Linked DNA regions of Sus scrofa. Each later gene encodes a partner of the first gene's protein in a complex. Links are inferred from orthologs where the notes say so. Each region holds a gene or a part of one and is shown in the gene's direction. Other genes may lie near its edges.

What was found. Proteins that work in one complex are often made in the same cells at the same time.
Region 2: WDR92 (region 1) and UXT share a complex: the UniProt entries of both Homo sapiens proteins name them as parts of the PAQosome complex. The link is inferred for Sus scrofa from reciprocal best matches to the Homo sapiens genes DNAAF10 and UXT.

What each region holds. Positions count from the first base shown.
Region 1 is NC_010445.4:74,091,494-74,095,143, forward strand, and holds part of WDR92 (WD repeat-containing protein 92), read left to right. Parts: intron 1-1,734; coding exon 1,735-1,835; intron 1,836-3,650. UniProt on the Homo sapiens protein: Key assembly factor specifically required for the stability of axonemal dynein heavy chains in cytoplasm.
Region 2 is NC_010461.5:42,181,606-42,185,355, reverse strand, and holds the start of UXT (protein UXT), read left to right. Parts: upstream 1-1,224; 5' UTR 1,225-1,332; intron 1,333-1,512; 5' UTR 1,513-1,521; coding exon 1,522-1,619; intron 1,620-2,568; coding exon 2,569-2,650; intron 2,651-2,787; coding exon 2,788-2,855; intron 2,856-3,128; coding exon 3,129-3,236; intron 3,237-3,750. UniProt on the Homo sapiens protein: Involved in gene transcription regulation. Acts in concert with the corepressor URI1 to regulate androgen receptor AR-mediated transcription. Together with URI1, associates with chromatin to the NKX3-1 promoter region.

The sequences.
Region 1 (3,650 bases):
AATATTTTAAGCCCGCTGTAGAGACCTACTGCTCAGGGGGAAAAAAAAAAAAAAGCCTTTCAAAATATTACTGCTCATTGACAAAGCACCTGGTCGCTCAAGAGCTCTTTTGGAGATGTACATTGTTTTCATGACTGCTAACATAGCATCCATTCTGCAGCCCATGGAGCAAGGAGTAATTTCAACTTTTAAGCAATACATCTTATAAGGCTGTAGCTGCCATAGGTAGTGATTCCTCTGATGGATCTGGACAAAGTCAATTGAAAACCTTCTGGAAAGGATTCTAGATGCTGTTAAGAACATTCATGATTCATGGAAGGAGGTCAAAATATCAACATAAACAGGAGTTCGGAAGAAGTTACTTCTAACCCTCATGAATGAGTTTGAGAGGTTCAGGACTTTAGTGGGGGAAGTAACTACAGTTGTGGAAATAACAAGAGAGCTAGAATTAGAATTGGAGCCTAAAGATGTGACGGAATTGCTGACATCTCATGATAGAACATTAATAAGAAAGTGGTTCTGGGAGTTCCCATTGTAGCCCAGCAGGTTAAGAACCCAGCATTGTCCCTGTGAGAATGTGGGTTCGATTCCTGGCCTCGCTCAGTGTATTAAATATTTGATATTGCCGTAGCTGTGGTGTAGGCCACAGCTGCAGCTCCGATTAGACCTCTTGCCTGGAAACTTATATATGCCACAGGAGCAGCTGTAAAAACAAAAAAAGAAAGTGGTTTCTTGAGATAGAATCTACTCCTGGTGAAGATGCTGTGGGATTGATGAAATGACAGTGAAGGATTTAGATAGAATATTACATAAATTTAGTTGATAAAACAGGGCTAGGGAGGACTGCCTCCAATTTCGAAAGAAGTTCTAATGTGGGTAAAATGCTGCCTGTGTGAGAGTCAGTCAAAATAGCAAACTTCACTATTGCCTTACTTTAAGAAAATTGCTGCAGCCACCCAAGCCTTTAGCAACCACTGCCCTGATCAGTCAGCAGCCATTAACATCAAGGCAAGACCCTCCACCAGCAAAGATATTATGACTTGCTGAAGGTTCAGATAATGGTTAGCATTGTTTAGCCGTACAGTGTTTTTTTAATTAAGGTACGTATTTTTTTTTTTCAGATGTAATGTTGTTGCATGCTTAACAGACTACAGTATAGTGTAAACATAACTGTTACATGCACTGAGAAACTAAAGACTTCCTGTGACTTACTTTATTGCAGTTTGCTTCCTTGTGGTGGTCTGAAACCCAACTTGCAGTATCTCCAAGGTGCCTGAACTTTTATATTATTTTATATATTTATTTTGCCTTTTCTAGGGCCGCTCCCTCGGCATATGGAGGTTCCCAGGCTAGGGGTCTAATCGGAGCTGTAGCCTCTGGCCTATGTTAGGGCTGCAGCAACTCGGGATCCGAGCCGAGTCTGCCACCTACACCACAGCTCACAGCAACGTGGGATCCTTAACCCACTGAGCAAGGCCAGGGATTGAACCCACAACCTCATGGTTCCTAGTCGGATTCGTTAACCACTGTGCCATGACAGGAACTCCCCTGCCTGAACTTTTAAATTGTATAAAAGTGACTAAAGGAAAAGCATGATAATTTTTATCAGACAATGTTTTAATTGCCTTTTTTATTGTGTGCCTATTTAATTCCTGTAATAGAGCCATAAATATCATGGATTATAAATAGCTGCTTACATAAATAATGTATCCTCTCTCCCTCTCTTCTCTCAAGATTGAAAAGGCCAAACCCATTAAATGTGGAACATTTGGTGCAACATCTTTACAGCAGAGATATTTAGCTACTGGGGATTTTGCTGGAAACCTTCATATATGGTAAGATTATTTCATCAGTGTTGAGACATGAGATAAGCAATTTCTTTGATAGTCTAGTTATTCTTCCTCTGAAAGAATTCTAATTTTAAAATGTTTCAAATTTACCAGATTTTAAACTTTAACTGTTTATAAGAATGACAATTACTTTTCAATATCTATTTTTAGATTTCATGTTTAAAATCCATTTTAAGACACTAGCATATTTATCTTTAGATATTTCAAATGATGTTATTAGTATTTATTTCCATCCATGCTATTTAATGCTAGCATTTAATACCCATATTTGTAAATAAAGGGCTATTCCTCTTCAGCATGAAGGATGCAGTATATAAAAATGCTCACATGGGAGTTCCCATCATGGCACAGCAGAAATGAATCTGACTAGGAACCATGAGGACACAGGTTCGATCCCTGGCCTCACTCAGTGGGTTAAGGATCCGGTGTTGTCGTGAGCTATGGTGTAAGTGGCAGCTGCAGCTCTGATTTGACCCCTGGCCTGGGAACCTCCATATGCCGTGGGTGCGGCCCTAAAAAAGGCAAAAAAAAAAAAAAAAAAAAGAAGCTAAAAAAGCTCAAATGTAACACTGAAAAATTAGATATTGTTTACATTTTAAGATGATATTTGGCATTACAGAATGATACACTGTATTTTTGTATGTTTTAATTTTTTCCTCCAATTCATTAAATTTTTTTTCCTTTTTTTTATGTTTTAGCTAACATCTGAGCACAGCTTTTTAGGAACACATCTGTTGAGTAAATCAAGATAAACCTGTTTTGAATGAGCAAAATCACAATTGTGCCAGTTGCTTTTAATTTTCATGTTTTACATAGAGTTATTTCCTCATTTTTAAATGAGTTGAATGAACTGAAATTCCTCTCATTACTTTTGAAGAAAATCTCTTAAATCATTTAAAGTATGCAGTAATTTTTTGGAAGAACTATCTTCCCTACCTTATGTTTTCTATTGTGACCTTTCTTGATTCTAACTTAGAATCTATTACTTTGTAATTAAACTACTTTGACATATTTATCTGTCTTAAAGTCATAGTATAACAAGAATGGAACGATTTTCCTTCCCTATGCTTTAACTACTTAAAAGTTAAGTTAGCATTTATTAGGATGCATTCGTTTTTACCTGTTTGGTCATATACTTTCAAAGAACTTGGGAGAGAGAGCAGTCTGAGTGGTTTGGTTTGTTTTGTTTTGTTTTTGGGTGTGCCCGTGGCATGTGGCAGTTCCTGGACCAGGGATCAAACTCGCACCACAGCAGTGACCCAGGCCACTGCAGGGATGCTGGATTCTTAACTCCGCTGAACCACAGTGGAACTCCTGGGTGTTATTTATTTATTTATTTATTTATTTTGGTTTTTTGGCTTTTCTGGGGCCGCTCCCGCAGCACATGGAGGTTCCCAGGTCAGAGGTCGAATCGAAGCTGTAGCTGCCGGCCTACCCCAGAGGTCAGAGGTTGAATCGAAGCTGTAGCTGCCGGCCTACCCCAGAGCCACAGCAAGGTGGGATCCGAGCCACCTCCGCAACCCACACTACAGCCCACGGCAACTCCGGATCCTCAACCCACTGAGCAAGGGCAGGGACTGAACCCACAACCTCATGGTTCCTAGTTGGAATTCGCTAACCACTGCACCACAACGGGAACTCCCTGGGTGTTATTTTTTAAAATAAATATATTTTAGCACAAGAATATGCAGCAGATATAACTATTGACTCTCTTGCTAATAGAGCTTCCTAGGATAGTGCAGGTATTACTGTCTTACTTTCATTGGTAAGTCATAAGCTCACATGAAAAGAAGTGATGTT
Region 2 (3,750 bases), on another chromosome or scaffold:
GTTAGATGCTATTATTCGAACATCTAACATGGGAAATAAATCTATCCAGTAATTTGAGCATGTAAAAATTAATAAAAGCCTACACATTTAAATAAAAACACACGAACTATTTCTAACTACAAGATTACCTATCTCAGGGAAGTCCCCTCGTGGCACAGCGGAAACGAATTGGACTAGGAACCATGAGATTGCAGGTTTGATCCCTGGCCTCACTCAGTGGGTTAAGGATCAGGCATTGCTCTGAGCTGTGGTGTAGGTTGCATTCGCGGCTCCGACCTGGCATTGCTGTGGCTCTGGAGTGGGCCGGCAGCAACAGCTCTAATTGGACCCCTAGGCTGGGAACCTCTATATGCTGCGGATGCGGCCCTAAAAAAGGAAAAAAACCCCAAATATTACCTATCTCTGGCGGAGGGCTTCGACCCTCCATTTGACGTCACTATTAAATGATGTGCTTAGACGTAATGCGTTGTCAATCTTTGCTTGAACCCTAGGATTCAAGCCACAGAATTGCGGGCCACAGAGCTGGAGTCGTCAAAGGTGTACTTTAGAAAAATTTGTGTCCGTTTAAAAACTTTTTTTTCTTTCTTTCTTTTTTTTTTTTTTGGGCCGCACCTGCAGCATATGGAAGTTCCCAGGCTAGGGGTCCAATCTAAGCTGCAGCTGTCGGCCTACACCACAGCCACAGCAATGCCAGATCCAAGCCGCGTCTGCGACCTACACCATAGCCAGAGCAATGCGGGATCCTTAACCCACCGAGCGAGGCCAGCAATCAACCCGCATCCTCATGGATACCAGTCGGGTTCCTAACGCGCTGAGCCACAAGAAGAACTCCTAAAAACTTTTTTTAATGTTCACACTCATTCCCATTACTGGGAGCCAAACGCAAACTTCCCGTGTGAAAGTCCAAATCGAGGGGGATACAGGGATGTATTTTCCTTTTCACAGACCAGATCCGCAATCGATTCTTGCCGGTCTGCTTCCAAAGCTCTGACTTAAATACTAAACGCTTTACTCGGTCTCTCTCTACCTCCACCTGTGCGTCCCGCTTCCTCCAGAAACCGCCAAATCCCATTAAACCCTACCCCTACCAACCACGTACGGTCCCCATAGGCTCCTCGTGCCGTCCGGGTTCCCACGCTCTGCAGCCTTCAGTAATCTCTTCGGATTCTGTAAAGCCCCGCCCTTCTCCTCTCCCCAGTGTAGTCTTCCGCTCGCGACTGCCCCACCCCACCTGGTTGTTTGGTTGGCCAGCGCCCTCGTCGGACGTCATTTACCCGCGCCACCCGGAAGCCGCGGTTCTTACCAGCCGCTCCTTTTGCCGGCGGCTCTCAGGTAACAGCCGCGTTTGGGTGTCCCTGGGTGACGGAGACCCTGAATTGGGAGGGGGAGAAAGCTCACCCCCCCCCAGCACGAGCCGGACGATCCTACTCCCACCGTTGAGAGGGTGCAATTGTACTGTGCTGGAGGCCAAACTGAGTGGTCAACGTGCTCTTCCCCCTCCCCATTCCTCAGGAGCCCATCATGGCGACGCCCCCTAAACGGCGGGCAGTGGAAGCCACGGCGGAGAAAGTGCTGCGCTACGAGGCTTTCATCTCTGACGTGCTGCAGCGGGACCTGCAGTGAGTGACAGAACAGGGGGGCGGGGTGCTTGCCGCGGTCCACGTGGTGAGCGGGGCGTTCGAAGTAAGGGCCTAGCCTTCTGATTGGTGGGCCAGGCATTCGGAGCCCGGCCCCGCGCGCCTTTCGAGCGGGAAGGAGGGGCGATGTCCGGGGTGCGACGGGGGTGGAGACCGGGCGGTCTTAGCGGAGAGTGTGCTGGCGCATGCGCGGCCTCTGAAGGCGCTTAAGGATTGAGAGCGAGAGTTCTGAAGCCAGAGTTTCCAGGTTGGAATCCTGGCTTGGCCATTTCGCTTTCCATGTGAATACGTTGTACCTCGCTTTGACTTTCTGTGCCTCAGTTTCCTCATCTGTGAAATGGGGAAATAAACAGAACCTTCGTCATGCAATGGTTTTGAGTTTTCAATGTGTTCAGTTCTAAAGGATTTAACTTGGATACTAGAGGGTCAGTGAGTATGAAAAATTACTGGTATTATTAATCTGAGCAGGAAGTACAGTGTTCAGGTCTAGGATTATGAGCATCCTAAAAGGGATGGAGGATATTTCTAGAGTAAGAATGGGAGAGTGTGATTGGAGGAAGGCATTTGGGAGTGTAATAATAATACTAATAAATAATAGCTAACACATTTATAAAGCTTCCTGTTTGGCAGACACTGTTCTAAATGCTTTATAGTAAACATTCATTTAATCTTCCTAATGACTCTATGAGGTAATATTTGTCATCCCTGTTTTATTAGACAGGGAAATTGAGACCCAAAGAGGTTACTCACTTGCCAAAGTCACCCAGCTAGTAAAAAGGAAAGCCTGCATTCAAACCAAAGCAGTCTGACCCAGAGTCCTAAACTGCTTCTTTAGGGCATGGTGACAGGAGAGTGTCAGAGAGTCATGATATGAGGTATTTCAAGAGGGACAGGCCTCCTCTTGGTCACCATTTTACTCTTGTCCCATCAGAAAGGTGCTGGACCATCGTGACAAGGTATATGAACAGCTGGCCAAATACCTTCAGCTGAGAAATGTCATTGAGCGACTCCAGGTAAAGATGCCAGGGTTAGGTATACCTTCTTTATGTGGGCAAAGGAGGGGGAAGAGAGGAGAGACCCCAGACCAAAACTCGTCACCTGACCTAAAAGTTGACCACTGACCCCTACCTCTTTTTCCCTGGCCCCACAGGAGACTAATCACTCGGAGTTATATATGCAGGTGGATTTGGGCTGTAACTTCTTCGTTGACACAGTGGTGTGAGTGTCTACCCACCCCCTCTGAGCCCACAGGGTTCAGTTTCCCCTTTCCTTCATTCAGCAAATATTTTTTGAGTATTTGCTACAGACCAGACACTAGGTGCTGGAGATGTGACAGTGAATAATATAGGAGAAAATCCCTGCCCTCCTAGAGCTTCAAATTTGGGGAAGGTGGGGGGATGGGAATTTTTTTTTTTAGATCTTAAATAAACCATGTGGTATGCTGAACAGCGATAAGGACTTCCCCCCTTCCTCTAACTACTGTTTCCTCAGCCCAGACACTTCACGGATCTACGTGGCCCTTGGATATGGTTTCTTCCTGGAGTTGACACTGGCAGAAGCTCTCAAGTTCATTGATCGTAAGAGCAATCTCCTCACTGAGTAAGTCCATTGCATGAGGATAGTGTCTAAAAGCACCACCATTTGCCAGGCTCTTCTGCCCCCTTTCCCCATGGCTGCCTGGGATGATACTTAGGGACCCATCTCCCCTCCCCCTCAGGGCTAGGGCTGAGGACAGTGGGGGATGCAAAGCTTAGCCCCAAGCATAGCACACAATAAGCACTCAATACATGGTCTCTGTATTGTTCACTCCCACAAAAAGTCACTGGGTGTCTGCTGTAGGCCAGGCTCTGTGCTTGGTGGTGGGGAGGCAGCAGTGAACAAGACAGAAGGGTTCCTTGAAAGCTTATAGTCTGGAAGGACTATAACTGTTGCACAACAGCACAGTTTCGACCAGATCCTGGAGGTCTCAGCCCATAGATCAGTAACAATAAAACAGGTCACCTCTGACTTCACCTCCTGCTAATTTTCCTGCTTGTTCACTGTGCTCTCACCACACTAACCTTCACAGGCGTCCTTAAACACCCTCAGAATGACCCCACCTCAGGGCGATTGC